2 linked regions of the Notamacropus eugenii genome follow. The protein of the gene in region 1 purifies or fractionates together with the protein of each later gene. This does not show direct contact. Links are inferred from orthologs where the notes say so. Each region holds a gene or a part of one and is shown on either strand. Other genes may lie near its edges.

The links.
Region 2: the proteins of REXO4 (region 1) and RRS1 purify together in Homo sapiens (co-immunoprecipitation; 3 studies listed by BioGRID and IntAct, with this or other methods). This does not show direct contact. The link is inferred for Notamacropus eugenii from reciprocal best matches to the Homo sapiens genes REXO4 and RRS1.

Annotation. Positions count from the first base shown.
Region 1 is NC_092872.1:485,572,260-485,588,241, reverse strand, and holds the start of REXO4 (RNA exonuclease 4), read left to right. Parts: upstream 1-8,515; 5' UTR 8,516-8,700; intron 8,701-10,166; exon of another isoform or gene 10,167-10,173; 5' UTR 10,174-10,382; intron 10,383-11,363; 5' UTR 11,364-11,605; intron 11,606-11,739; 5' UTR 11,740-11,768; coding exon 11,769-12,011; intron 12,012-13,999; coding exon 14,000-14,361; intron 14,362-15,058; coding exon 15,059-15,196; intron 15,197-15,525; coding exon 15,526-15,719; intron 15,720-15,982. Other genes in the region: ADAMTS13 (A disintegrin and metalloproteinase with thrombospondin motifs 13), read right to left, coding at 1,249-1,532, 3,575-3,641, 4,149-4,223.
Region 2 is NC_092875.1:286,370,656-286,385,835, forward strand, and holds RRS1 (ribosome biogenesis regulatory protein homolog), read left to right. Parts: upstream 1-7,543; 5' UTR 7,544-7,632; coding exon 7,633-8,724; 3' UTR 8,725-9,129; downstream 9,130-15,180. Other genes in the region: ADHFE1 (hydroxyacid-oxoacid transhydrogenase, mitochondrial), read left to right, coding at 14,820-14,878. UniProt on the Homo sapiens protein: Involved in ribosomal large subunit assembly. May regulate the localization of the 5S RNP/5S ribonucleoprotein particle to the nucleolus.

The sequences.
Region 1 (15,982 bases):
GCGATGAACTAGTTTAAAAGATGTTACTAGTCCAAATCTGCAAATTCCATATTCTGTTATTTACGTATATCTTGTACTTAGCAAAAGTTTGCATTTCAGAGTGACTACCCTTGCTTCATTTTCTTCTTTATAAATTATGTGGCAGCTGTAATGAAGAAAACTTACCTGGCTGAGAGAGGAATATAACAAGAAGGGTTTTTCACTGACTTGTATCCAAACTCTAAATGGGTCTTTCTTACCTGACCTCCCCCTCCCAGGATTATCCCAAATAACTGCAACAGTATTACAATGCCACTAGTGACCCCACTAGTTATAGAAGATATTCAATGAGCTAATATGTCTAGCAGTGACTATGGATTTACACTAATTCTTCTGTCCTCTCTTTCTCCTTGTTGAACAGAAATTCATATTTGCAAGATAGCTGGGGATGCCAGTTTCTATACCTAATACACTAACTGGTCCATACAGGGACTAAATCCCATCGTGCTGACCTTAGTAAGATTATGCTCTGTGTCAACAAACAACTCTACTCCAAATACAGTTCCTCAAAACCTTGCCTAAACACCCTCTGAGGTCAACAGTAGTTAGGCCTTAGGAGATTAGCGTGGAAGCTGTAAGGATAAAATTCTTTACTGGATTATCGCTGTATCACAGTAAGAAGAGACTAGGTTTGTGAGTACAAATTCCCGAAACTGTCACAGAACCGTAGCAGAATCACAGAATCTTTGAGTTGGAAATATATCTCAAAAATTATATAGTATCTAACCCCCTCATTTTAGAGGAAAGAAAACTGAGTCCAAGAGAAGGAAAGTAACTCGGCTAACATCACAAAATCACACAGAGGCATAACATGGTATAGTAAAAAGAACACCAGATCTGAAGGCAAAAGACCTGGGTTTGGATCCCAGTTCTGTTAATTATTACCTGTGTGCCCCTGGGCGAGTGACTTAACCTCCATGGGCCTCAATTTCCTCATCTATAAAATGAGGGACTTGGACAAGATAAACCTAAGACTCCAGCTCTTTTGACTACCAGCTTTACCAACTTAATAACTGGAGCATTGTAAGATACATTCAAGTACAGAGTTGAGAAAAAGTAATTATACATATTTTCACAGAGTCTTCCTCCCATCCTTCTACTTTGTGATATACCAGGATCACCCTCAACATTCCCCATCCTCTTACATATTCTACCTAGCTAACAAACGCTAACAAAATGAAACCGCTAACAATCATAGCATTCACTCACCAACTGCCCAGCACAGTAAGTAATCTTCGCAGCAACCCCAGCAGGGAACAGGACCCTGCCTCCTGTAAAGCAGCTGTCTGGATATTGTTTCAGTAGCCAGAAAGAGGAGTTAATCGCCAATTGACTAGTAAACGATGGGATCAGGAGGCTAAACTCCTCAGGGAACTGGAAGGTATAAAGTTCTCCTAGGGCCTGGAAGGAGCAGCGCTGGGTCTTACAATGTAACCTGGAAATCTGATGGTCTTCACAAAGGCAGCTGAGCTGAAGCACATCGAACTCTAGGGCTGGAAGAAACAAGATAGGCAGTGTGATTTAGGAAATCTTAGCTTAGCATTTCCTTAGCTCTTTCCACATGAGAAAATAGGCAAAACTGAATTCCTTGGCACATTTATTTGGCAGGAAGAAGGAGGCCTCCATCTTTAAAGACCCACATCTTTAAAATTATCATCCTCTCCCCACTTGGCCAAGAGCAAACTGACCATACCTTTTATATAGTCCCAATTTAGTGTTTTCTTTCTCCTCAAACTACCTTATATTATATTTCTCTGTGTATGTGTTGTATTCTCCCCCACCTCCACCCTTAGGTAGAATGTAAACTCCTTACGGGCAGATTGTGATTCTTTGTCTTTGTCTCCCCAGTACCTAACAGTGCCTGGCAAAGCAACTAACACCCCAAAGATCTGTGTTTTAGTCAGCAATGTGGAATCCCAGTGTGGCTTCTCCAAGTCAGAACAAAACCACCTAAGACTTAGTGGGTTCACAAGCCCCAGGGCACACAAAGACTAAGTAATATATTTGCCCAGGATCACACATCAGTAAGCTTCAGAAGCCAGATCTGAACAAGATCCTACTGACTCCTGTCAACCATTACTAAGTTTGTTAGTAGAAAGACAAACAAAATTAGTCTGAATATGAGGGTTTATTTCTCTCAAAGCTTGAAGAACACGCATATAGAGATAGGTGTGGGAGCTCATCATGAGACGATGAACTCAAGGATGGACAAAAGATTTTTATATCTTCAGAGCAATTCCATCTCGCCCCTTCCTCTCTTCCTGGCTCAGGATGCCTATGTCAGCCAAAATTATAATCTCTATAGGGTTAGCCATGATATGAGAAAGGAATCTCTCAAGTGGATAGGTTGTAAATGCAATAAGACAATTGACAAAGTGTCAACTGAAATTACAATCCCAGGATATCTGTTTCTTTTACCATTAACATGACATAACACAGTATATGTCCATAAAATACTTAAGAAAAGTCTCATTATTGTCTGGTCAAGGCACCTTGTCCTTGGTAGTCATTAACAGAAGAATGAGTGTTGACATAGGAAGGGGCATTTGGAGCTCATTCGAAGCATGTCTATTATGCCAGAGCATGCAAAGCATTATGGTAGATTAAGTTCACAGTGGGCCACAACGTCTCTCCTGATTAGCCAATCCAGGTTTTAGGCCTTTCTTAGATCTTGGGGGTTCACAATGGTTTGGGGAAGGGTCTACACTCCAAACCCATTGATTTGTTCACTATGCCACAATACCTCTTGACTCTGAACACTGTAGGTATGAAATAAACGTCTGCAGGCTTTAAGACAAGACTGCAAGTAACAAGTGAGTCTACTTCAGTAGTAGAAAGCCCCCTAATTCCCTGTTCCTGACTAGGAACTCCATAGAATGAAAACATTAATCATGCTCCTAAATCCCCAATTAACAACAATCCCTAACATATTGATATATGAGAGTGAAAAGACTTTGTACTAATTATAATTAACTCTCTTTGGCTAAAAAAAAAAAAAAGAAAAGAAATTGAGGCAATGATATTCATCTCCATTTTCCACAAAAAAACTCTGTTTCTATAAAGAGAAATAATCCCTCCTGAATAAAAAAAAAAATGTTAAAAGTTGAAGGGGTTTTAGAGAGTATCTATTCTAACTGCATCCGTTTAGAGATGACAGAGAGAAACCCAGAAGAAGGAAGGTACTTGCCCAAACTAGTTAGCATCTATTTGCTTTGAGATATTTAAAAAGATTCTTTTACAGAAAGTTCTGGAGTCAGATCTCTAGCTCTGTCCTGGAAACGACTCAGATCATGTTTCTTTATGTTTGTCAGTAAGATAACAGCAAGCATTTAATTAGCAGGAAGAGACTTGGTCCATGGAAGAGAAGTAACTTCCCCCTCACACACGCTTCCAAGAAAAAGGTCCTTGCAGCGTGTATCTTAGCCTAAAGTGGGGGATGTAAAAAAGAAAATCAAAGATATATTGACTCAACTAATTACCAAGAAAGATAAAATTAGTAATGTTTCCCTTACTAAAAAGAACCACAGAATAGTACCTTCTAGGGTGGAAACAGCACCAAAATAAAAGAAAATATTTTCTGGATCCAAAGCCATCAGAAACCTCTGAAAGAGAAAGGGAGAGGAAGAAGCAGGTAGATTTAGTAAATATATGTTTTGCCTTTGACTAGATGAAAAGCAATCACCATAATAATAACAATATTCCTTCTGCAATTAACTGGCTTTAGTCCCCTGGATTTCTGAGTTCTGACTTAATTTATGCCAAACAACTTGATGTCAAAGAAGAATAGCTGACTTTTGTGTACTGCTATAAAGTTTATAAAGCACTGTACAATTATCTCATTTGAGCCTTATAACAGCCCTGAAGAAGGCACTAGAGTTATCCCCATTTTACAGATGAAGACACTGAGGTTCAGAGAGTTTAAGAGAATTGCTAGTAGTCATATATCTAGTAATCATTAGAGTCTAGAATGGAATTGCCACCTTCCTGAATCCAAGTTATCTCCCAAGTTTCCTTTATTTAACAAAATAAAGGTCAATTTCAACCCATATCATCAGATTTTTAAGGAGCCTAATTCCTTAAATATTAGTATTTCTAGAAATTAAACTCACCTTTTGAAAATCTGGAAGTTGGAAAGATCCCAGAAGGAAGAAAGCAGAAGCAAAGATCACCCACGTGTTGAGCATGGTCAGAGAAAAGGTAACTCACACTTTGCTGAAGTCTTCCCTCTGCACTACACAAAATCCAATTTTAGGGAAAAGACAGATTCAGAATTTAAAACAGCTACGCAAATTATGTTGGGGAATGGAGATCCCAAGAGGGAAATCTGGTCAATGTCAAATGTGACAGCAACAGCTGGGAGGGAGCTATTAGGCAATGTTTACTCATTAGGAGACTTGCAAGGTTAAGAGGTCTGAGATAGTTCATATTATACAACAACCAAATAGAGAGGGAGAAGTTAGAGAAGAGAGGCAGTTTCTAACAGCAAAAAGATTCAGCTCCACAGTGATTTTTATACCACAGGACAGAAGGGATGAAATTTGACAACTCTCAGATCAATATGTAAATTTGTCGCTGTAGGACATGTGACTTTCTCCTGTGATATACTTCTTACTATTGTTTTTGAATTGGGTTCCATAGTTTTGGCATTTTCCCAAAGTTGCAAGCAATCATGGTGGCTTGCCTTGACAGAGTAAAGTATGGGAGAATGTTCTGGGAAATTTCAGTCAATGAATGGAACCCAATCCTTCTCCCTAGGTATTTCAAGAAAACAGGGATAAATCTTCATCCTCAGTCAGAGCTTTGTGCTATTTCAGTGGTCTCCAAAGTAGAGCACATGTATCCTAGGGATATGTAAGACAATATATTGAAGTGCAGGAAGAATTTCTATTTATATCTTTATTTAAACAAATAAGAAAGTAATTCATTTTTACTCATGTTTAACATGTGACATGGGTTAACATTGGCTCTTTGACTCAGTCCATATGTCAGGTAGCCTTCCGCAACCCCTCTTAATTCTGGTGCCTTCCCTCTTTTAATTATTTCCTGTTGTCCTGTATGTAACTTGCTTTGTATATATATGTTTGCATGTCATCTCCCCATTTGATTGTAAGCTCCTTGAAGGCAGGAACTTTGCCTCTTTTTGTATCCCCAGCACTTAGCACAATGCCTGACACTTAATGTTTATTTTTTGACCGATGTAACATGTATGGTATACAAGGTATCCTAAGGGAATCATGGGCATTCCACTACATAGAGGCATAGACAGTGCTCCCTCCATTTCACATGCTTTTGACATATTGCAGTATATGTCAGTATACACATGCCCAGGTAAGTGACTTAAGAATATTCCTGCAAAGAAACCAAAGACTATGCTAATAATAAGGGCACAAGCAAACAATAAAATGGCAAAATTGGCCCTTCTGCTCCTAGGAGATTTTGTCAGCCACATTTGTCTTTGTCAGCCACATTGTGAGGTTAAAAAAAATGATGGTCTAATCAAATATGAAAAGTTAACACCCTGAAATCAAAATTATCAAGAACATTTGATATGAATTTATTTTCAGTATTGTTAATAATGAACCTTAAAGTAGATGTATATTGTGCCTTGCAATATTAGCTAATGACAGCATAAAGCCATTATAGTTAATGGCATTTAGAAACTAAGCATTTAAAGTCCCAAATTAGAAGGGTGCCACCCATGAAAATTCTCATGTCTCCTAAAATTTGGAAACTGAATTTTCTTGTTTGAAAATCTTTGAAATGAAGAGTTCCAGTGGGTTTTTTAACCTGTTTAAAATATAAAAATACAATATCTTCTAATTAGTTTGCAACAACTAACATCAAAGAAGATAGAAACATACTAGCTGATTTCAACAAAAACCTTTACATAGCCAGTGAATTGTGATCAAGATGGCTGCTTGAACAGAAGCAGACCAAATAGCTCCCACAGTCCTATTCCAGCAAAAACCCTGAAATTTGTACTAGAACAAATAATGATTTTTTTTAATTCAATGAGAAATTACAATAAGCAATTTCTTCCATCACAAAATTGCACAAAAATTTAGCCAGAAACCCCCACCCAATAACAAAAGATGCTACCAGCAAAGCCATCACCAACCAGAGCAGGCAAAGGAAAGGGCAGTCTCCTAGGGCAGAGTCCTGTATAGGCTCTGGGGTTCTGTATCTAGAGAGATCAAGAGTGGAAGGCCCCATCAGGAAGTCTCAGAAAAGGGAGAAATCCCCAGTGTTGTCATAAAATCTCAGGATAAGGACCCTGGAAGCCCTAGGGAACAGGAGTGACCAGTGTGGTTCAGCAATGCTCAGTATGAGAGGACAGGTGACCAGAGTCTCCACAATTCCTAATACATCGTCCTGAGATGACATAGAGTGACCTAAGATTCTAGCACTCTGAACTTCAAAGATCTAGGGAGGCTATAAGCTTGGTTGTTGTAAATTGGCACAGAGCCACAGGTGATTCAGGGAGAGACCAACCAGAGCTAACTACTCCACCCTAGATTGAAAAATGAGAATGGAATCTGGTCCTGGCACAAAGCCCCCAAAACTAGAGAGATGAATAATCCAAAGAAGATACCACCAGTGTCTGAAGATGCTCCCAAAGAAGGAGTGAATAACTTTTTAACAGCCCCAAGCAGAGATTCCAAGTGGTAAAAATGACATTCCATAAGAATTACATGAATATTCAGAAGAAATGAAATGATGAAAATGAAACAAAAGCTCTGGAGGAGAGGACTGGAAGGAGAATAAATAACTTAGAAGAGAAAGTGATCACTCTTACCCAAACAAGAGACTCCCTGAAAACTAAAATAGACTGAACAGAACAATGGCTCTACAAGAAAGCAAGAAACATTAGAACAAATGCTTAAAAAGAGAAAATGTAATATATCTCATCTTTAAAAATAACTGACCTAGTAAACGGATCAAGGAGAGATCATTTAAGAATCATTGGGCTCCTTGAAAATCTTCATTAAAAAAGAAAGGAAAGGAATACTGGACAGATACATTAGAACTACAGGCCAAAGTAAAGAAAAAAATCTACCAATCACCTTCTAAAAAAAAAAGTCTCAGGAATGTTACAGCCAAAATCCAGAGCTCCCATGTCAAAGAAAAATTACTGCATCTGGAAAGTAAATCAAATAGCAAGGCATATGACAGGCATTTATTTATTAAGCTGCCACCATGTGCCAAGTACTGTGCTTAGCCAAGGAACCAGCCAGAATCACACAAGACCTGCCTACTTCTACAATAAATGAAAGCTCTTGAAATAAAATATTCCAAAGGGCAAAAGATAAAGGATTACAACTAAGAATAATTTTCCCTACAAAGCTGTGTAATCCCACATGGGGGGAAAAAATGAACCTTTAATGAATTTTTAGAGGTTTTTCCAAGCATTTACGATAAAATAACTTGTTTTAAGCCTGGGGAAAAGATAATTGCCCACAAGGTCTACTTGTTTCTTTCCACTGTGGCATTAATGAATTTATTTTATATGAAAATTTCTAAGGTCAGTCAAAATTACTCTGAGCCTCCAGTTAGGAAAATTTTTAACACCTAAGCAGAAGTTTAATTCTCTGCCTAGCTTTACATCTCTCTCTCTCATAACCTGTGGCCTCATTGTGGTCGAAGCAAAATTCAGTTCGCTGGAAACACATGACTAAATAATAAATTATACTATATTGTCTGTGAACAAATAGTTATCAGGAAAGGAAATTGGGGAAAAGAACTGACCTTTTATTGGGACTTCCTCTCAGTCTGGGCACTGCTCTGCAGCATACCTATAGAGCAGGCCTATACAACCTGCAGCCTGCAAAAAGGAAGATATTTTTCGCAGTCCACCTGACATCCTTTGGTGGGCCACAGGTTGTACAGGCCTGCTATAGAGCAACAAAAACACAAACATACTTACTGATCTTGAAGGGAGGATGGAAAAGAAAAGAAGTAGATAGGGAATGGTTCAGTAAATTTTGGTATATAAATGTACTGAAATATTATTGCACAATAAAAATGATGAAAAAAGTTTATTTCAGAAAATCCTGAATAACACGAACTGAATCGGAGTAAACTGAGTAGAACCAGACAATTTATATGATAACAGTATTGTAAACAAAAATAACATTTGCTCGGGGTCAAGGCCCGAACCCCCTGGATCCCCCTGACCCACAGGCCTCCAATCTGTGGGCCCTGAAGGAAGGAGACTGGAGACAAGATGATCCAGGCAACAACTCTTTATTCAGCTGAGGGTTAGGGTTTATAAAGGCTGATCCACCAATCACATACATGCTGAGCTCATCCCATTACTTTACCATCTCATGACTATTCCATATCCTTACACCCGCAGTAAGGAAGGAAGCTTATCTTGTTCCTGCAGCTAGTTCCTGGGTTCCCAGGCTCACTTGTAACTTTACTGTACAGAGCACCAGTATCTGCAGGAACATCAGGTTCCAGGGTCACACAGAGCTTCTGCCAGGGTGTGCATCAGCACCGTTGCCACAGGAACAGGCTTTGCCTCTGACTTGCACCCCCAGAGACCCTCTGGGCCCCTTACAAACATTGAACGCTTAAAAATCTCAGGTTAATGCAATGGCCAACCACATCCCCAGAAGGATCTGTAATGAAGCACTTTACACACGTCCTGACAGAGAGGTAATACATTTAAGAGACAAGCTTTATTTTACTATATGGCCATTGTATAGGTTTATCTTGTCTTATTTGGTTCACCTATGCTGATTTCTTAAAAAAGGTGGGTTTTTTGGCCTCCATTTTTATTGGAGGAAGGGGAGAGAAGGGTGTGGTTAGTAATGGTAAGAAAAAGAGGGGCCATTGAAACTATCTTTAAAATTCATGGAAGTGAATAGAGGGAAGTTCAGATAAAGCAAAAACAAGCAGAATACTTTTGAAAGTATGTGGAATTTATTATTTGTTTTAAAATTAGCAATATAAATTACAGATTCACAGTTCAATACATAGTTCTGTATTTTACTATTTATATGGAAATACTTTTTCAGTGTTTAAGTTTAAAATGAAAAAATATTAATATTAAGATAATTAATAAGACAATTTACTAAGTACAACCAACAGAGCATTTCTTCCACTTGGGTCAATGGATCTTTGTGAGGCATCTTTTAAGCTGTAACAGCTATTAGCATGAGCTATCAAAATAATGTACTTACTTAGAATCAGATCTTTGAATTTTTGTATCTTAGTATTAAACCAACATTTTAAAGAAATAACGAAGCATATTCAATCACATTGCTCTTATTAAAAATATTAGTAATTCAAATGAGAATTTACCAAATGAGGGCAAAAAGGGTTTTTGTACCATTGATAAAATTTTAAATTATTTCAATATTATCCTTTTAAAATGTCTGTTTTATAATGTTCATATTAGTTCAGTGTATATGATATATGTGATTTGCATAAGAATACATTTTATAAATATATAAATATGCATGCACACATGTATGTTAGAAGTTCATGATCAAATTTTTTACTGATAGTGTTAAAGACACGCTTAACACTAATAAGGTATCAAGGAAAATTTATTGCAGCAGAGTCCAGAGGAATTGATCACCTTTGGCCAAAAGAGGGCTCAAACCCCACCCCACCCCTTAGAAAGGAAGAGCATGAATTGCTTCTGAATACAGAAGTAAGATTGAGCTATATATCCTTAGTTCAGGACAGATCCTCCCACCAGGAGACAGCTTGGTCCATTCTCCATGGGATCACCATCTTCTCTACCTACCTGTTACATAACCACTGTTGGTGTGATCTTCCCACTCCACCATGCTTTAACATACGACCCATGATCAGAAAATGGAGGGATAATTTTATGTGGGGTGTCTGCTTATATACATTATATATACATACACATTACATACATATACATTAAAGCCTTCCCCACGTTATTCCTGGTCATATTTCCCTACTGGTCCGGCAGTTTCAGGCCTGGACCTTCTTATCACAAATGTTGTGGCTTTCTGAAGGCCACTGTCTGTCTCTTGATTGGTTGAGTCCACCTGCAGTGTGCTAACTTTCTTGTCATCTGACTTATTCTCAATGACTTCATCAACCAATAACCTCTGCAGAAACTTAACTTTTTGGTGTCTCTCACAATAGGGATTCAAAAAAGTTTGAATTCATGCTCTAGAAAGCACCAGAGTGTGCCGACTGGATCCTTCGTGGCAGTAATGAGCACATCTATTCTGGTTGGACCTGGATGACTGTGGCATCTGGAGGCAACAAAGCGGACTGGAAGCAGAAAGACGTGCGTTCAGATCGGACCTCAGCCACTGGCTGTGTACACCTCGGGAAGTCACCGAACCTCGGTCAGCTTCCCCATCTGCAAACGGAGAGAGTAACAGCACCCATCTCCCAAGGATTTCGTGAGGACAAAATGAAACAAGGTTTACCAAGCTCTCTGCAGACCTCAAAGTGCTGTATCAACGCTAGCTACCATACATGATACCTCAGCGTACATGCACTTAAATACATATGTATGTTGGTGCTGGCCCTTTGGTTTCTGAAGAGGGCCAGTAGTGCCATTCTGGCAGCTGCCTCCCCTCACGGGTAACGGGGATTTAAGCGAGGCAGAGCTCCGCTAAGTCGGTGCCTCACCCTTCCAGAGAGCCCCCGGCAGCACCACCGGCAATGGCCCTTCGGCCGCCGTGGCGGCCTTTACTCTGGTGTGGTCTGCGCACACGCCGTAGCTTCTGAGAGCCAGGCACGGGGTGTGTGGGGTGCCAGGGAGGGCAGCACCCCTGGGGCGGGGCTTGCGGACCCCTTTTCAGAGCTGCTCGTCCGGTCACCTTGGGGGTCTACCTGGCACCATGCGCACGTGTGTACACACGTGTATATATATCTCTATCTATACACATATCTATATATACACACTACATATACATACATATATATGTACACACGTGTATATCTATTATAGAGATGTGATCAGCACTGGGCCAGAAACAATGAATGAAAAAGCATTTATTAGCATGAGAAATATAAACAGAAAAATGGAGACAGTCCAAGTTTCAAAGAGAAGGAGAAAGTTCGAGAAGGGAGAGGGAGAAAAAGGGGGAGGAAAGGAGGGCGACAAACGCGACTTCTTGGTGTTACCCCGATTGTAGTCCCCCCGATTCCTCACGTCCCATGTGGCTTCCTCCCCTCCCTCTTTTCCTCCGGTCCCCTTTCTTCCCTTCCGGAGAGCTCAGGCTGCGACCGCCAAATCCAACCACCCAGTTCCCGGTCGCGAGCCCCCGACTTGGGTCCCTCTCCAGCCAGAGTACCGACGCAGACCTATCCATACACAGGTTCTCGGAACTCTGCTAACCGGAGCCTCGCTCCCAGCCGGCTGACAGAGCAAGGGCTTCCGGGAGAGTCGCGTCCGTACGTGCGTGCGTCAACCCATGCGTGCGTAGCGGCACGAGAACCGCTAGAGATCGGGCTACGGAAGCCGAGCAGCTTCCTACAGGCGAACGGGGAACTGGCTTCTCTGTGTCTCGAAGAGCCTCGAGGGGGGTGTCTAGGCCTGCGGGGCCGGACAGGGTTTGAGGTAAGTGAGGAGACGGGAAAAGGGGGCAATATCCCCAGAGAAGCCTCGGGAAGTGTCCGGGGCCGGGCGGGAGGGGACCCCGAGCTCGCGTGGGGTCTGAGGCCGGCTCACGCACGGGGTCCTTTGGTCTCTAGCTGTCTCGGGGCCCTCGGATGGCACCGAGATGAAAGTGAAGGCCGGGCTCGCCAAACCTTCCACGGGCCGGGCTGTGGCCAAGCCGGAGCTTGTCAAGAAGCCCGATCGGAAAAAACAGAAGAAAAAGAAGAAGAAATTCTGGAAAAAGTACCCCAACGCGGCAGCAGAAGCTTCCAAGAAGCTAGAGAGCCCGGATGTCCGGGCGGCGCGGGCGGCGCTGCCCCCCAGGGGGCCGCAAGAATTTTCCCACAACTGGAAGGCCTTGCAGGAGGTAAGATGTAAGCGGGGTTCCCTGCGCGGAAAGTCGGCATGTCTGGGCTCATGCTGGGCGACTTTGGGCAAGGCACCTAGCCACTCCAGCCTCAGTGTCCTCCTCTGTAAAATGAGGCACTCCAGTGCTCCTTCTAGCTCTAGGTCCATGAGTCCTTCTCTTTTTTTTCTGGACTTCACATGGTACCGACCACATGCTTTTTAAAGGAAGGGCAGGGAATGATCTTCCTGTTTAACACTAAGGAATACCTCGAAGGATCCAGAAGTAGTCATAAAAACATTTGTATTGCGCTTAAAAACCATGTATCTAGCAATTAGGACGTGCGAGGCACTTTATAAAATTATCCCATTTGATCCTTTACAACCACCCTGGGTGGTAGGTACTGTTATTGTCCCCATTTTACAATTGAGTAAACTGAGGCAGTCGGGACTTCAAGTGAAGCCTGAGGCCAGATTTGACTTTAAGTCTTCCTGATTCTGGGCCTTGTGCTCCATTCGCTGTGCCACCACCTACCTGCACCCATTTTATGGGTCTCTCCCCCCTAACCCCCAATGGAAAAGAAATCCATAAGACAAGATAAAGAAATTTGGGTTGAAAATTTTTATTTCAAAGTAAATTTTGGGGTTATTTTTTACAGTACTACTTAGTATACTATAACTGCATAAAATAAGTTGAAGGGCCTGCCCTAGGCCTCAAAACAAAAAGATCCACAGGTGTTTATTGTGTTAGGTGTTGGAAATTCTTCAGAAATAAGTGTTAGATTTGAGGTTACAACTGGAAAAGGCTAGTTTAGACCGAAATAATATATGGATGTAAATGAAAGTTCTCACTTATATTTAAATAGAAGTTTAATTTCAAAGAAAAACTAGAGTTGATACCACATCACACCTATCAGATTGGCTAATATGACAAAACAGGAAGATGACAAAATATTAGAGAGGATGTGGGAGAGTTGGAACACTAATTTCTTGTTGGTGAAGCTGTGAGCTGATCCAACCATTCTGGAGATCAGTGTGGAACTATGCCCAAAGGGCTACAAAAATGTGCATACCCTTTGACACAGCAATACCACTTCTAGGACTGTATCCCCAAGAGATCATGAAAATGGGAAAGGGTCCCACATGTACAAAAATATTTATAGTAGCTCTCTTTGTGGTGGCCAAAAACTGGAAATCAAGGGGTTGCCCATCAATTGGGGAATAGCTGAATAAATTGTGGTATGTAAATGTAATGGAATACTATTGTGATATAAGAAGTGATGAACAGGAAGACTTCAGAGAGGCCTGGAAAGACTTATATGATCTGATGCTGAGTGAAAGGAACAGAACCAGGAGAACTTTGTACACAGTAACAACCACAGTGTGCGAGGACATTTTCTGGTAGAATTAGTACTTCATTGCAATGCAAAGACTTAAATAATTCTCAGTGGTCTCTTAAGGCAAAATGCCTTCCACACATAGGGATAGAACTATAGAATTCAATCGCAGAATGAAGCAGGTCATTTTCTTTTTGTATTATGTTTTGATTTGTTTTATGATTTCTCCCATTCATTTTAATTCTTCTATGTAACATGTCTAAGGTGAAAATGTATGTAATAGGAATGTATGTGTAGAACCTATATAAAACTGTATGCTATCTCAGGGAGGGAGTGGGGAGGTAGGGGAGAAGAGGGATAGGAAGGGGAAAATATCTAAGATATTTGGAAGTGATTGTGGAACACTGAAAACAAATTTAAAACAAGATATGAGGGGGAGAAAGAAAAACTAGAGTTGAAAATAATCATTATTGTATAAGTGAAGAAGAGGAACTCTTTGAGAGTAAAGACAATATCATTTTTGTTGATGCACCTGCACATAGTGGTTATTTAATAAATGTTTGTTTAGATGCTGCTGCCTAAATGCTCATGGTAAAAAAGGATTTTCTTAGAGCCATAAATTTTGATGGTTTAATTGCCAGGTTAAAATGTGGGTTTCTTTGATTCTTATCAGCTGTTGAAACAAAAAACTCCAAATCCAGAAACATCTGTTCCTGCCTCTCTGGGGAATCCCAGAAAACAACCCAAAAGCTACCACCAGAATGGCAGAAGTGCTTCTAAGAAGGAAGAACATGGTGATGCAGAACTACCGAAGGTGGCAGGCAAAATAGGCCAATCTTCCTCTAAGGCTTCTATTTCTTTAGGATCTTTGAATGACACAAAGGTTGTCCCTCATAAAAAGCGCAGTGAAACAAAGGACACAGGCAATGGAACTGAAACTATGAAAAGAAAAAATGGTGGCCTTCACCAGAAAATAGGGGACATCAAGCATGAAAAGAGGAAAGCAGAAGAATTAGTTCCTTCTCCACCCACAGAGTGAGTATTGGACCTCCTGAATTCCCTTGGAATTGGAATTTATCTAACTAGAGCAAATAATATTGTTTGAGGAGGAAGAAACCATCATAATTCCCACAGGTGGCCTCTGTGGTCTTTGTACTGCAGGTACACTACTACAGGTGTACTACAGGTTTTAAAACTAGGAAGGCTAAATGGAGCAGTGAGTTTATGTTACTGACTCATTGATGTGGAAATTTAAGTTTTGATTTATTATAGAAATGAGTTTTAGAACATGGATCCCTTAATTCCTTTGGCATGTGCTTGATAGATACCCCATGAGTGGCAAATTCAGAACAAAGCCAAAGTCATGTCAGAATTCAAAATAGATGGGCCATTTAAAGCAGAGGTTCTGAACCTGAAGTCCATGAACTTTTTTTTTTTTTGACTATTTCAATATAAATGGGGTTTTTGTTATACTATTTTATTTTATTTAGGTTATGTTGTTTTATGCACTTAAAAACATTCTACTTTCAGGTCCATAGGCTTTATCACACTGCCAAAAGTCCCTAACACAAAAAAAAGCCTACAGACTTCTGATCTAAAGAATCCCTTCTACACTTTTTGCCTACATTGACTTTAGGAACCAGCCATAGCCCTCATGACAGCAGATAAGAAGGAAATGGAGAGGTGGGTTTTTTCCCTTTTTGGTGCTAAGTGTCTTTTCTTTCCTTTTTAGATCAGACATCTGGTTTGATGATGTAGATCCTAAGGATATTGAAGCTGCCATTGGTCCAGAAGCTGCAAAAATAGCTAGAATGAAACTGGGTCTGAAGGAAAAAAATCTGTCTCTGGTGAAAGAAAGGGCATTTGAAGGGTATGTTGAAGGGTTTTGTTGAGTTTTTTTGTTTTGTTTTTTTGTTTTTGTTTTTTTTACCATGGGAGAAGAGATGTGTGCTACATAGAACAGATATGACACAGGAACCTTGAAGGGCATAGATGGGTTGCTTCCTTTGATAGGCACTGTGAATAATCTTCCATGAAGGACCTCTTTAGTTAAATGATAATAACCCAGGGCATGTTATCACTTTAGCAACAAGCCATGTCAGGGTAGTGAATCCTTTGTGCCCCTCCTCTAAGTTACAAGTGTGCAGAGATTCACCCTTAATCTAGGTGTTTTAACCCAGACCTTTGGTTCTCTCTCAGCATGACCAAAGCCATAGCTATGGATTGTGAGATGGTGGGAGCAGGGCCAGATGGGGAAGAAAACATCCTTGCCCGAGTGTCCATCGTGAACCAGTTTGGGAAGTGTGTTTATGACAAGTACGTCAAGCCAACAGAGAAAGTGACTGATTACCGAACAGATGTCAGTGGGATTCGGCCAGAGGACATCAAACATGGTAGGCAGAGTGCCTTCCATAAACACCAGAACCAGCCTGAAAGGATTACTGCCAGGAACCTAGGAACTTAAAAAGGGAGAAAAAACATGAATGGCATAGGACAAAGGACTTAACAATGGAACTTTATTTCATTTATAACTTAGGTGTCAGTAATTCTTTTGGAGGGAAATGTATCAGTTCACCCCTTCCAGAGGAACCTTTCATTTATGCCTTTTCTGGCTTAACTGTTCTGAAGCCAAGGACCGTGTTCTTCTTTGGATTCA
Region 2 (15,180 bases), on another chromosome or scaffold:
TGTGTGGTCTCTGCTTTGTTTCACGTGCCCACATTCTGAAGAGGCTCCCCAGGTTTCCATATGCTTCAGTTGCGGCATTCACTGCTCTCTGCTACCATCTACTGGTCTTCAAATATACAATCCATTTCCAATGACATTTTCTAGGGTGCAACTGCTAAAAGCCTGTTCCTTTACAAGGCAGAACTAAAGCACTTCTAATCTTCCAAAGAGATAGAAGTCATGATGAGGACACTCAGCCAGGAACTCAATAAAAAGAACTAACAGAAACAGAACTAACAGAAAGTGAAGATGAACTCTACACTTTAGATTGACTTCTGCGGCTTTCCATTTTAGTGAACTATCTGACTTGGAGTTAGGAAATTCCTTTTAAATCCTGTCAAATTCCTGATGGTCAATCAACTTCCTAAAATTTCATAGTTGCTGTATAAGACTCGGTGGAAGTGGAGGATGGGGGTGGCATTAGACAGCAGGTAGGAGGAGACTTCCTTGATCTCTCTGAGCGCAAGTACAACAACCCAAAAAACTGGTAAAGCCACAGAGGCTATCAACCTCTACCTTTTCCTATATTTCTGCCCTTATTGTATACATACTGGCCAGCACCAAAACTTCTGATCTGTGTTAGCATTCTGGTCAGCAAAAAGTGCACTCTCTCTCTGTCTCTCTCTGTCTCACTCTTTACACACGCACGCACACACACACACACACACACACACACACACATACATACACAGTCCTGCATTCAGACTTACCAGACTTAAAGATGAAGGAATTAAATTGATTCTGTATCACTTTATAATTTATTCTATTCTGTTTTACTGCACCATTTTGTATTACTCAAGCCATATTTTTCTCATCTCTTTGCCTATGAGCTAAGTTTAGAACTTCAGTTCTGTTCTATTCTTGCCTCAAGGAAATCTGCTATTGTTGAGGAATGCAGAGATACCAGGGAGTTTGGTCCACTACCTTTAACCTTGCAGGTAGGCCGTAAGCTCCTGAAAAATTCCATGACATGTGTTTGCAACTGTTGAAGTCGTGCAAGCTAACCTGGTACATCTCCACAAAATGTAATGTCCATCCTTGCCTATCCCTTGTACAATTAAGGAGAGTTTCATCTCCCTTGTAGGAGCCAGGGAGTCTAGTATCCTTGGTCCATTATCCATGGGATGCTGATGGGGCCCATAAATTAATCAAGCATTTCTCTAACACAGAGAAGGGTGGTGCTAGCCCCACATGAGTGTTAGTTCATTCTTCTTAACATCGTCAGTCTTGTTGTCCTCACCCTCACGATGCAGCCATCCCTATCACCGATTGTGTTATTTTCCTCATCTTCACAATTCTGTTCTTTGTTCTTTGTGGTTGCATTGGATATTTAATAAAAGGGTAAATCAGGGTACATTTCTCCCAGCAAAGCTATATTTTATTAGTAGAGGTACTACCCATCAACAAAGCAGATCTCTTGACCCCACAAATAGCCAAAAGACCCCAAATTGGGGGTGCAATACATTTTATAAGCATATGGGATGGTTCTTTATCTCTGAATTTAGCTCAGAGTTCAGTTTTAAAATCCAACTCTCCTGCCTCAAGGAATTAAACTCAAGGAAGAGAGTCGGACCTGATTATCTTTACTCCACCAAGCTATAATTCAGAGACGTCTGGTTTGTCGTCCAAAAGTCTAGATTGTTGTCTCACACCTGAACTCAAAGAATGAGCACTTCTTAGTTTCCTGAGAGAAGGCGGAGGATCATTGCTAGCCCCCATTACCAAACTTCCAACCAGTCATGTTTCTCCCTGCAACCAGTCATGCTGACTCCAGTCCCATGGTATCACTTACTCTGTTCTCTTTTTTGTTCTGTACTCCCCAAAACCTATAAAAGAGGAACAGTCCTTTTGCTCAGGGTCTTTAACATAAATGGAGGCAATCCACTGACCCACTTATTAACAGGTAGCATGCCTCTGCTAATAAATGTTATCTTGTGCAGAGATCTGCCTCAGTTTTCCCTTTTGTTAAAATCTCAAATACAACAGATGGCAGCAGCAGGGCAATGGGGAAATAAGAGCTGCTCCCTTGATCCTTATCAGAACCTCCCCCTTATTCTACTTGGCCCAAGAGGAACAAATTTTCCAGAAAGGGAGAGTTTTTTTAGGGACTCTATGATTGTGGATTGGTTCTTTCCCTACTGACAACAATTAGATCTTCTCCAGGGAAAAAGGATGAGTGAATAATTTTGTGCATTTTGTTTTGTATTTGCTTCGTGTCTTAGTTTGTGTTAGAAGGTCATATTCTGTGAGATTTGGAAATAATTGACAATATTTAAAACCTGAGCACATTTCCTAGACCATCTTCAGGATTGGGAGATATACTCTTGAAGATAATTTAGCCTTCAGGAAAGAATTTCAATTTTTTTGAAGGTATTGGAATACCATTTGGCACTTTTTTATTCTTCAATTACATTTTTTTATTAAATTATTTTATTTGTTTTCAGTGTTCTACAATCACTTCTAAATATCTTAGATTTTTTCCCCTCCCTCCCCTTCTTTCCCTCCTCCCTCCCCACTACCTCCCTGAGACGGTGTACAATCTTACATAGGTTCTACACATATATTCCTATTAAATACATTTTCACCTTAGTCATGTTGCATAGAAGAATTAAAATGAATGAGAGAAACCATAAAAAAAAACAAACCATAATACAAAAGAAAATGATCTGCTTCATTCTGCAATCCAATTCCATAGTTCTTTTTCTGGATGTCGAAGACGTTTTGCCTCAAGAGTCCATTGGGCTCCCCTTCCTAGCACCATCTTGTCTACTCCCATTGAGCCATGAGAGCCAAGTGGAGGAAGAAGCGAATGCGTAGGCTGAAACGCAAGAGAAGAAAGATGAGGCAGAGGTCCAAGTAAGCAGACTGCTGCCCACGGCGGCCACAGGAGCAGAGATGGACCGACCTCCCTCCCCGCAAAGCACCGACTGACGACTGGCTCCACCGTCCGACACCCTCCCAACCAAGGACATGCCATTTTTGAAGGCCGATTCCACCGACCTGCCCGCCTCTTGGAGTTTGTGCCGTGGGGCCGCGGCCATTCCGAACTGATTGTTTTCTTTGTGGCCAAGTGTAGCACGCCTGTATAATAAATCCTCGCAACTTTGTTTCAAAAAAAAAAAAAAGAGTCCATTGGGAATTTTTTAAGTCCTTGCATTGCAATGAAGTACTAAATCTACCAGAAAAATTCCTTGCACACTGTGGTTGCTACTAAGTACAAAGTTCTCCTGGTTCTGCTTCTTTCACTTCGCATCAGTTCATGTAAGTCTTTCCAGGCCTCTCTGAAGTTGTCCGGTTCATCATTTCTTATAGCACAATAGTATTCTATTACAATCATATACCACAACTTGTTCAGCCATTCCCCAATTGATGGGCATCCCCTTGATTTCCAGTTTTTGGCCACCACAAAGAGAGCTGCTATAAATATTTTTGTACATGTGGGACCCTTTCCCATTTCTATGATCTCTTTGGGATACAGTCCCAGAAGCAACCTTGCTGGGTATTTGGCATTTTCTGAAGGAAAGTCTCAGGAAGTCCTGTCTCCCTGTCAATGTGGGCACTGAATTATTTCCAAGTAACGTTCTCCATAATTTGAATTATTATGGTATTAAAATATATTGATATTATACAAAACTATATATCTATATATTATGCATTTCCAAGTTTCTAAACTTTTTCTGTGTTGTCTTCTGGCATTTGTGTGCTGTCTGAGACTTTTGCAAAACTTCCCCAAAATTCCCATTTAATTTCTTATGCCAATCTCCATAATATATCTAAACCATGATATAAAGCTGTGATGTGGAAGGGATAACTGTACACTTTTCATTTTTATTTACAAATATCTGTAATCACTAACCATCCAACCACATATTTGTTGAGTTTCTCCTAAGCATCTATGCTTAGTGCTATGGAGAAAATGAAAGCTATATAAGACCCTGTTCTTGCCCCTGAGAAACTTGCAGTCTGGTTGGGAAGAAGACTACCACATATTAAACAATCACAGAACAAACAGACTATTAGAGCTACAAGGAATTTCAAATGCTCTCTAGTCCAACCTGTACCTAGACAAGAATTTCCTCCACATCAAAACTGACAAGAAGCTACACAGCCAATGACTGAAGACCTTCCAAGGTCTTCACATTCCACTTTTGAACCTTAATAACATAGGATGGTTTTCCTTAATATCAAACCTAAATCAACCTCTTTGCAATTTCCACCCATTACCCCTAGTTCTGCCCTCTTAGGACCAAGCAGAATGAGTCTACTTGTTCTTCCATATGACAGTCCTTCAAATATTTGAAGACAGTTCTTCAATTTGATCCTCATATGGCATGGTCTCAATGTCCTTCACCATGTTGGTATTCTATGAATGCTCTCAAGTTTATCAATACTCCAGTGAATGTGTGATCTCCTCCATGTGGGCACTCCATCCAAAAATGCAAATGGGTAACCCATCCATGTCTACCCATTTGGATACTCATTCATGTCCTTCCATAGGGAAGATGGTCCACCCAATTTATCAGGAATCCTCTTTGTATGTTCTTCACATTGATTAGATAGATGTCAGTGGAAAGGAGAGCTAGCAAACGTGGAGCATGTTTATTTGTCATTCTTCCTTACTGCTGTGCAAATGGATTATGTTTTTCAGGTCATATATTTCTCTGACTATATCCTTTTTTCCCAATTTTCCTACACAATTCCAATCTGTGGCCAAATCTTACCTTCATACATTTCTTCTTCTCTCTTCTGCCACTGCTACCACCTTGGTACAAGCTCTATGCCATCACCTTACATCTGGACTATTGCTGTTCAGTCATTTTCAGTCATGTCCCACTCTTCATGACCCCATTTGGGGTTTTCTTGGCAAAGATGCTGGACTGGTTTTGCCATTTCCTTCTCCAGCTCATTTTCCAGGTGAGGAAACTAATGCAAACAGGGTTGGGTGACTTGCCCAGTGTCACACAGCTAGTACATGTCTGGGGTCAGATTTGAACTTTTTACAGATGAAGAAACTGAAACTCAGCTTGACTTGGTAAGGTCAGGTAGCTAGAGAGTGTTAGGCATCAAAGGTAGAAATATAAAAACAAAATAACCTCAAGAAGCTTACATTCTAAAGGGAAGCAGGAAGGGAGAAGAACATATACAAAGATAAATAAATACAGTAATTTTAGGGAAATGCCTTATGTTAGAGATAGTCCCAAATCTGTACTTTGAAGAATGGTAAAAAAAATCTAAGACAAAGAAAAGAGGAGGAAGTAGATCCTTAATGTAAGTATAAAAGCATGGCGACAGGACATAGAATAAGGAATAAGTAGCAGGCCAATTTGCCTGGAATGTAGAGTGCATGAAACAGAAGTCTTCTCTTCCCCAGGCTATCTTCCAGCCCTCCACCATCCTGGCTGACCTCATCTGAACCATCTCCAGCTTATCAATGCTGTTCCTGAATTGTGGTACCCAAAAGTGAACACAACCTGATTTCCCATGTTCACAGCTTTGGTGTTCTCTTGAACACTGCTCTCCCATTCACTTCCCATATCCAGCCAGTTATCTGCAACATCTCCCATTCATCTCTTCTCCCCATTCCTGCATTACCATCCTTAGGCTCTCACCAGCAACAACACCGATTGCTACAATAGACTCCTCCTTCTGCCTTCACTCCCTCCCAGTAGAATAAATCCCTTATGCTACTGCCAAATGTATTTCTTAACTGGCCATGTCATTCCTCTACCCAAAACCCTTGAGTAGCTCTCTATTTCCAAATGAATAAATATCCAGCTCATCCAGGCATTCAAGTCTCTTACCATTTATAAAATTATCCTTAATAAACTCCCATATACTCTATGCTCCAGATAAACTGCATTTTTCATTGACCTCTAAGGAATCTTGCAACTGTTTCTTACAAGTGCTAAACTTTCCCATCTGCCTTCATCTTGCTTCACTTTTTGTGCCTGAAATTCCTCTCTCCCCTAGCCACCTTCAAAAGCCCAATTCAAATGTGAACTCTACCACCACCATTTTGAAACTTTCCCTCATCTCTCTAATCAGCCCAGATCCTCTCAGATCTCACAAAATATTTTGTTTATACCTCTTTAACACAACAATGACATATCATTTTGTATGGTAGTTATTCATTTGTTATACTCCCCCTCTAGATGAAAAGTCCTACCAGGGAAGAGCCATTGTCGTTATTTTTTAATCTAAAAATCTTTCTTCCAGTACCCAGCAGTGTTCTTCTCATAAACAGTGTTTAGTGTTTGTTGCCTGAATTATCCATCTTTATTGACTCCCTAAGCAAATTCTAGCCAAAATAGAAACGCTATTTGGCCAAATGTAAATAGCAACTATTTCTGCTTTGGCCAGAAACCTGGAGGGTCTTACCCTCGCAGGTTGATTTTTTTTTAACTAGGTAAAAGAGGCCATTCTTCACCCCATTTCTTACCTAGCCTTAATCACTGAATGGGTATTGCCTCAGTCAAACTGAGACCTGGGAAAGACCTTAGCTTAAAAAGGCCAAGGTCTCCCATTACATCCTGTGCCACATTCAATTGTCCTGAGCTGTATCTGGCCACTGAGCCCAGATGGCTCCAGAAGAGAAAGTGAGGCTGGTGACTCTGCACAGCCCTCCCTCACTTAAACCCAATTCACTTGCAAGTCATGACATCACCTTCCTGGTGTTACAGTCCTCTTACAGAATGAAGGTCTCCCAGAAGAATCAGAGACAAGCAGACTGTGTGGCAGCCTTGGGGATCCCATCTAACTCTCTTTTGCTACCAGACCTTGCCATGTCAGGCTAATACCTGTCTCACCTACTTCAGCATCTCCCTTAAAGGAGCAGATGCCGCAGTTCTGTAATGTCACAGGCAGCCAGGAAGCAAGGTGGGCAGAGCGCTCAGCCTGGCATCTGGAAGGCCAGTTCAAATTCAGCCTCAGACACTCACCAGCTGTGTGACTCTGGGCAAGTCACTTAACGTCTCTCAGCCTCAAGCGTCGATAACAATAGCTCCTTCTTCCCAGGGCTGTTGGGAAAGGATCAAATGACCCAGTATCGGAAAGCACTTTGCACCAACGACGGGCACATAGTAGGACCTTAATAATCCTTACCTCCATCCCCCAACTCATTTTTGCAGGGTGCTTTCCATGTAAAAAAATCAGGTTAAAATTTATTCATTTACATTTTTAAAAAAATTTTGCAACTTTTTCATATCTCTAACTTCTAAGAGGTGAGGTGAGGAGACAAAAATCCTGGCTCTGAGTTTCCAGGACCTCAGTTTGTAATGCTACTCACCAGCTCTTAACACGTGGGGAGCCGAGCTGCACCGCATTCTGGGATCCGTAGTTCTAGCTGGGCCGCTGGGACTTGTAGTCCCACAACGACACGCCACCGCCCCCTCCACAGCCCCTCCCAACTCAAGTCTCCGAGTGCCTTGTCCAATCAGTACGGCAACGCTGCCCCCTGCCGTCGTGTCACGGCGCGTTGGCCCGGAATTCCTCCTGTGGCACCGGAAGAGGAAGCTTTTGACTTCCGGAAGAGAGGACTCGGAGCCGCACATGGTCCGAGCCGCGCGGTAGTGGTTTTGTGAGCCCCAGGTCCCCATGGAGACCCGCAGCGTGGAAGAGGTGCTGGCCAAGGCCGAGCGGGCCGAGGCGGAGAAGCTGCGGCTCATCACTGTGCACAAGGACCTGGAGCTCGAATTCGACCTGGGCAACCTGCTGGCCACTGACCGGAACCCCCCGACGGGCCTGCGGCAGCGGAGCGGGCCGGCCCTGGAGGCGCAGCTGCAGGGGCTGGCCCGGGACAACGTGCAGCTGCTCATCAACCAGCTGTGGCAGCTGCCCGCGGAGCGCGTGGAGGAGGCGGTGGTGGCCAAGCTGCCCGAGCCCAGCTTGCGGCTGCCCCGCGAGAAGCCGCTGCCCAAGCCGCGGCCGCTCACCCGCTGGCAGCAGTTCGCGCAGCTCAAGGGCATCCGGCCGCGAAAGAAGACGAGCCTGGTGTGGGACGAGGAGAGCAAGCAGTGGCGGCGGCGCTGGGGCTACCAGCGAGCCCGCGACGACACCAAGGCGTGGCTGATCGAGGTGCCCGGCGGCGCCGACCCCAACGAGGACCAGTTCGCCAAGAGGCTGCAGGCCAAGAAGGAGCGCGTGGCCAAGAACGAGCTGAACCGGCTGCGCAACATCGCCCGGGCGCACAAGGTCCAGCTGCCCAGCCAGGGAGGGATGCACCCCACCGGCTACCAGAGCCGGCACGAGCTGAGCAAGGCCATGCAGGTGGCCAAGGTCTCCACCGCCTCCGTGGGGCGCTTCCAGGAGCGGCTGCCCAAGGAGAAGCCGCCCAAGGGCCCCGGCAAGAAGCGCCAGTTCCAGCCCAACATCGGAGACTTCGCGGCGGAAAAGAAGAGTCAGCTGGAGCTGATTAGGGTCATGAACAGCAAGAGGCCCAAGATGGACGTGACCCGGGCGACCAACAAGCAGATGAGGGAGGAGGACCGGGAAGAGGCTGCCAAGAAGAGGAAGATGGCCAAGGCGGGCAACAGAAAGGGCCATCGGGGCAAGCGGAAAGGGCGACCCCCAGGTCCAGGGGGGAGGGGCAAAGGCGGACCGCCTGGCCCAGGAGGCAAGCGAAAAGGGGGACCACCTGGCGTGGGGGGCAAAAAAGGACTCCGTCAAGGAGGAAAGAGAAGGAAGTGATGCATTTTCCTCTCTGACTTGTGTTCAGTCACTGAACAATATTGGTAGTGCCTTCTTTTGTTGGAGGCCTCAGTGGGATACAGAAATAAAGACATGGCCCCCTGTCCTCGAGAAGTCTGGTGTTAAATAGTTAAGCACCTAACTTTGTTGCCCAAAATTTAATTGCTTTGGACTTTCAAAAAGATGAATGGGGGACAGAGTAATCATGGAATATTTTGCGAAGGAATTGCGACTCAGGCTTGACTTGAAATGGTTTTCTAGACTTTGAAAACTTTGGGGGGGGGGAATTGTTCAGGAAGGTATGGATAGAGTTCATATTAGTAAAAGTTTCATGTTGTGAGTTCAGAATTAAGCTTCGAAGCAACCAGTTGTCAAGATTAATAAATGTTACATTCGTATCCAAAATGTTTCTTATTTGGGAGCTTCTATCTTTAGAGATATGACTGTAGCTTTCTGGGTTTACCTCCCCAAAACAGCAGCCTGCAGCCACCAGACTGCCAGGTTGATAGGGAAAGTAAATACTGCAAAACTTTTGGTTGTCTGGGGAAAATACCTAAAAACTGGAAAAACATGAGGTACGTTTTGGTTTTACAGCGTTTAATTGTACATTCATACCACATAAATGTTAAACTTGAAAGCTCCTAGGAGAGGGAACTTGTTTAAAATCATTAATTTGAATACTCATCCTAACTGATGGGATCTGAATACAAGTAAGTATGAGTAAAGATAACTGGCATGGGGTTCTTCTCATCCCCCATAGTCTCCTGTTGTATTGCCTCAAATATTTTGGCTTGTGTTAGCCAAACGGTAGAATCTACTGTGTAATAATTTAGCACGGTATCCCTAAGTAGTGGATATTTAGGCAACCCATATCCTTTTGTTGGTTCAAAATAGAGGAAATGGTGAATTTTCAGTTGAACGTATATTAAGCATATTTTGTATTAGTTGCAGGACAATGCCAAAATGAAGGGAATTTTTCAGGAGCATACATCAGGCCTTCATGGAAATACAAAACAGAATATGGTAACTGCATTAAAAAGATGAAAATTTCAGGAGCCATTTCATAAGGGATTAGGAAGTAATTCTATGCTGGTCCCATAAAAATTTATTTTGAATTTGCCCTCTCACTGGTGTACGAGTGCTCTTACCAACATAGATCATAACTCACATGCTTTTTCACCAGTAATTCTCCTTATTTTCCCATAAGTCCACTAAAGAAATGCTTAACTTATGAAGGCTGCCTTATTTTTACTATATCAGAAGCACTGATATTCCATCCGAGCTGTCTATTGCTGTTTTAAAAACTGACAGATTCATGTTTTCTAGTCAGTTAGGGTCAACCCCTATTAACTTTTTAAAATGAAAATTCAAATTAATCCATAGTAAAAGTATATGAATATTTTTAATGTCCCAGATTGCTGAAAATAAATTTGCGTTGTCTGGCAATTAATGAATTGAACGCAGCATAGTACGTTGGAAAGAGGTGGATTTGGATTCAGAAAAGTCTGACCAGATCCTTTAGACAAGTAACATCTACTCTCTGGGATTCAGTTTCCTCAGCTGGAAGGTCAAGGGATTAGAACTAGATTATCACTTCAACAAACATAAAGTGCCTGCTAGGCGACAGACACTGCTAAGTAAGCACTGGAAATAGAAAAAGGCAAAAGAGTCTCCTGCCCTTAGGGAGCTTATAATCAAATGGGAGAGGTAATATAAACAGATTTACAAAGCAAGTTATATACAGGAAATAAGAGAGGGAAAGCACTAGAACTATGAGGTGTTGGGGAAAATTTCCTTTAGAAGATGGATTTTTAGTTGGGACTTTGAAGGAAGCCAGGGAGTTAAGTAGTCAGATCAGAAGAGGGAACTCATTCCAGGAATGGGGGGGACAGTTAGAGAAAATGCCCAGAGAGAGGGAGTATCTCGTTCATAGAACAGCCAGGAGACCAGTGTTGGGGAGTAGGGTAGAAGACGACTGCAAAGGGGGGGGGGGGGGAGAAGAGTAGGTTCTGAAAGACTTTAAATGCCAAACAGCATTGTATATTTGCTTCTGGAGGCAATAGGAAGCCACTGGAGTTTATTAAGTTGGGAGGACGGAGGAGTTGACATGACTGGACCTTTGTTTTAGAAAAATCACTTTAGTGGGTAAACACTTGAGGCAGGCAGACCCCACAAGCAGAAGAAGGAATTTCCTCAACAGAAGCTCTGCAATCTGATAAAACTGTAGATACCACACACACACACTCCCCCCAAAATAGCAAATAATTACATGATTGCACAGTAAAGTTTCGGAGATTCCAAATTCAATAGTACTTAAAATATAACTTAGATATCATTAGGGCCACCTCTCAGTTTATGGATGAAAGAATAGACTCAGGTTAAAAAGTTTATCCAAAGTCACAAGTATCAGTGCCCACATCCTCTAACTGAATCCAGGACTGCAGATTCAAATGCTAAACTGAATTTACATTCTGGTCAAGTAAAATTTGCCTAATTGGAAGGGACCCTAGAGATCATTTAGTGTAAACCATTGCCACCATCTTATAAATGAAATGGGGCTGGAAAAGGGAAGTGAGTAACCAAATTACCAACGGAAATAAGTAACCAATGGTAGCAATGGCATTTAAACTTAAAAAGTGGCTCCAAGTCTAATACTCTCCAGCAGACTGCACTGTTTTAAGTCATCAATGAACATGAGTGCCTGCTATGGGAAAGGCAACATGCTAGGCCTTTCAAGGGTTTATTTTAACTTGGGAAGCCTTCAACCCTTACGGAAACTAATTAGGAAATTAAGTTCCCTAGAATGGCAAGTCAGCCTGCTTGCCAACCATTTGACATCTGGCTCTTTGTAGTTAGCTTTCTAGGACTTTTAAGAGATTTTCTTTCTCCTAACCCTGGAAATAACATGTTTTAGACAACCCACTATAACCAAGCAATTGAGAAAGGGTAATTAAAATAATCAAAAAAGCTAACAGACAGCTTTCAATTCATATATTTCCCTACAAGCAATGTGGTGCAATGCTGTAAGAGCATAGGGTCTGGAACTAACAAATAACTGATTGTAGTTACTGTCTGACACAAGCTGTGTATGACCATGGAAAAGTCACTGAATTTCTCTCTATATTTTTTTTTCCATCTGCAAAGTAGAAATAATCCCTACATCACTATAAGGCTGCTATGAGGATCCAGTATTAAGCACTATAGAAATGTCAGCTATTGGCTGAAAACTAAACGAAAAACTGCGTTTTTGTTACATTGGGGGAAGAAACTGAATTTCATTTTTACTTCCTCCACCAACACAAATAAGTGCTCTATTTGTTGATAGGTGTTCTTCATGAGTTGCTATGACCCCAAAAATTTGCCATTTGTTGACTAATTCTATTGATAAGTTTCTTCACCCTTAGGTCTTCTAGTAAACAGAAAAGCACCCTCAGTTGGGCTGTACAAAGCTTTTCTGGTCCTGTAGTACCTGCTGAAGTTCACCTTCATGGGACATAGCCTAAAGAAGCCAGGGAAGTGTAGGATGAATAGATGTGGATGGGTTTCTATCCGCATCCAACTTACATCCAACATTAACCTCACAGGTTAATTTGCTTTTAATAGGACAATAATGACTCAAATTTTTGTAGCATTTTGAGCTTTGCAAAGCACTTTCCCCAGACTATTTCCTCCATTATACTAAACTGTTTTGCAGTCTCAACCTCCATGCCAACATTAATCAATAATAAGATTTCAGAAGAAATTTTTGTTAAAATGGAAAAATTAAAAGCAGAGAGGAAAGTAAGAATTAATTTTAAAATATTAAGAGCCTACTTTGTAGAATATACTGCTAGCAACAGTCTGAAAGTGACACTTTCTTGCTTAAGAAGTTTTGATGGCTTCAGATAGCCTTTAACACAAAATACATATTCCTCAACCTGGCATTTAAAATCCATAATATTGCTTTGAGGCAAGTAGATGGTGTTGTGGATAGGGTGCCAGGATTGAAGTCAAGAGAATCTGAGTTCAAATCTGGCCTCAGACACTTGCCAGCTGTGTGACCTGGGCAAGTCACTTAACCCTGTTTGCCTTGGTTTCCTCCTCTGTAAAATGAGCTGGAGAAGAAAATGGCAAATCACTCCAGTATCTTTTCTGAGAAAACGCCAAATAGTGTCATGAAAAATTGGACACAACTGGAATGACTGAACAACAACATGATAGGACTCCATTTTATCTTTCTAGACTTCTCATCAAGTATTCTTCCTCACATATCCTACTTTCCACCCAGATTAGTCCACTTGGTGTTTCCTGTACATATAACATCTTGTCTCCCACCTCTTTACCTTTGTACAGGTGGTTGTTACCCACCGTTTGGGGCAGCTAGATTGGTACAGTGGATAGAGAACCAGTGCAGGAGTCAGGAGGACCTGAGTTCAAATCTTACCTCAGACTCTTGCCACTCACTAGCTGTGTGACCTTGGGCAAGTCACTTAACCCCCACTGCCTCCTCCTGGGTCATCTCCAGTCATCCTGATGAATATCTGGTCACTGGATTCAGATGGCTCTGGAGGAGAAGTGAGGCTGTGACCTGCACAGCCCTCCGTCACTCAAAGTCAAGTGCAAGTCATGCCATCATTTCTCTGCTGGCATGGTCTTCTGCAATGAAGGACAAACACACCCTCCATTTATTTTCCTTGATCACTTCTGCCTCATAGAATCCCTAGATCCCTTCAAATCATGCTCAGGGGCCCTCAAGAGACCTTTCCTTATTCTCCTAGTTATTGGTGCATCTCCCCCTTCCCTGCCAGTCAACAAACATTTTGTTAATTGCCTGCTATGTGGCAAGCAATTTCTGCCACACCTGTGGTCTGTGCTCTGTGCCAGAGCCTTTCAAGCTCTTATTGGTCTGATCAGCCACAGTCGGACACACTGTACCTTGATTCCAGCATAGTGATGTCATTTGGATCCTCTTTGAGAATGAAGGACAAAGATTCTATTGCATGTGCCAGGCACTGTACTAAGAGCTGGGGATACAAAAAACAAGCCCTTCCCTCTGCTCTCAAGGAGCGCACAATCAGGAGTGACAGTGTGCAAGCAGCAATGTACAAACTAGAAGTATATCCGGGGAAAAATAGAAATAATCTGAGGAAAGACACTAAATTAAAGAAAAGTTTCTTGTAGACGGGGGACTTTAGACCCCACCTAAAATTACTTTGTATTTTTGGTATGTATTAGTTACATGCTTATCTTTGTATGTATTGTTTCCCTGTGGTAGAATATAAGCTCTGTAAGGCTTCTGCTTATTGTATCCTCAGGGTCTAACACAGGTCCTGGTACTGGAATATAGATTGAAAGGAAAGAGCTTTTTCTGTGCCCCTCCTTTCTTCCCTCCCCCCCTTTTTTACAGCAGAGGAAACTGAGTCCCAGAAAGGGTTCAGTGACCTATAATCATAGAACAGTATATCTGTAAGGGAAGGGGTCTCAGAAACAGATCATCGAAACCAACCCTCTCATTTTACAGAGGGAAAAACAAGTCCAGAGACTAGAGAGAAGGCTGGGAGCCTAGCCCCTTTCCTCCCTTCCCCTAGCAACGCCCACTGCTGAACTAAGATTCCCCCCCCCCCCCTCTTTTTTAACTCAAAAGTGTTTGGAGGAAAGGGGGTTTAGTTTGCACCCATGCGTTAGGTGCTTCATGCAGTCTGAAGTGTCTTCTTTCAATACTTCATCCCAAGTTAGGACAGCGAACCGGCCCTCTGGATTTGCTCCTGGTCTGCCCCAAGATGGAGTGAGCAGTGGGCGGGGGACTGGGGCGGTCAGTGGTGGCAACAAATCAAGAGCTGGAGGCAGGGACTTTCCCCCTTGAACCTGAAGCAGGATCACAAAAAAAGTGGCTCCGCTGGTGACCAGCAGGGGAGGGGGGAAGCGAATAGGAAGGACGTTTCTCGTCCCACAAGGGGCAGGTGCCTAGCCAGCTCACTTGTCCCGGGAGCAGAGGCAAAGGGCAAACCGCCCGGTGGGCGCGGCCAGGCTGGCTCCGCCCCGGAGCGGGCGGCACTGAGGCAGCGCCTGTCGTGGGTCTGTGTGTCTGTCCCCAGCCTGAGCTCTGCGGGGCAGCCATGGCCGCAGCGGGCAGGGACAGGGTCGCTCACCTGCTGAGGCAGCTGCAGCGCGCGGCGTGAGTGCATAGCCCCCTTCGCGGGCCCAGTTTGGGGGCAGGCCCCGGGGATCCGGAGCGAGCCCAGGGAGAGCCCTGGGTGGGGACGGGCCACCAGCCAGCCAGCTAAGCGGCCCCCGGGAAGCCCTAGGAATCCGAGCTGGGCTGGCCCCGGAGCCTAGCCCTCGTGCATGCCCCGGCGGAGCCCGCCCGCTTCCCGCTGGTCCTCACACTGGGGTGCTGGGCTCAGCCTTCCCCAGAGTCCCAGCTGGGCAGGCGTAAGGCTGAACGCTGGTTTAGAGTTCATTGTCAAAGGGCGGGAC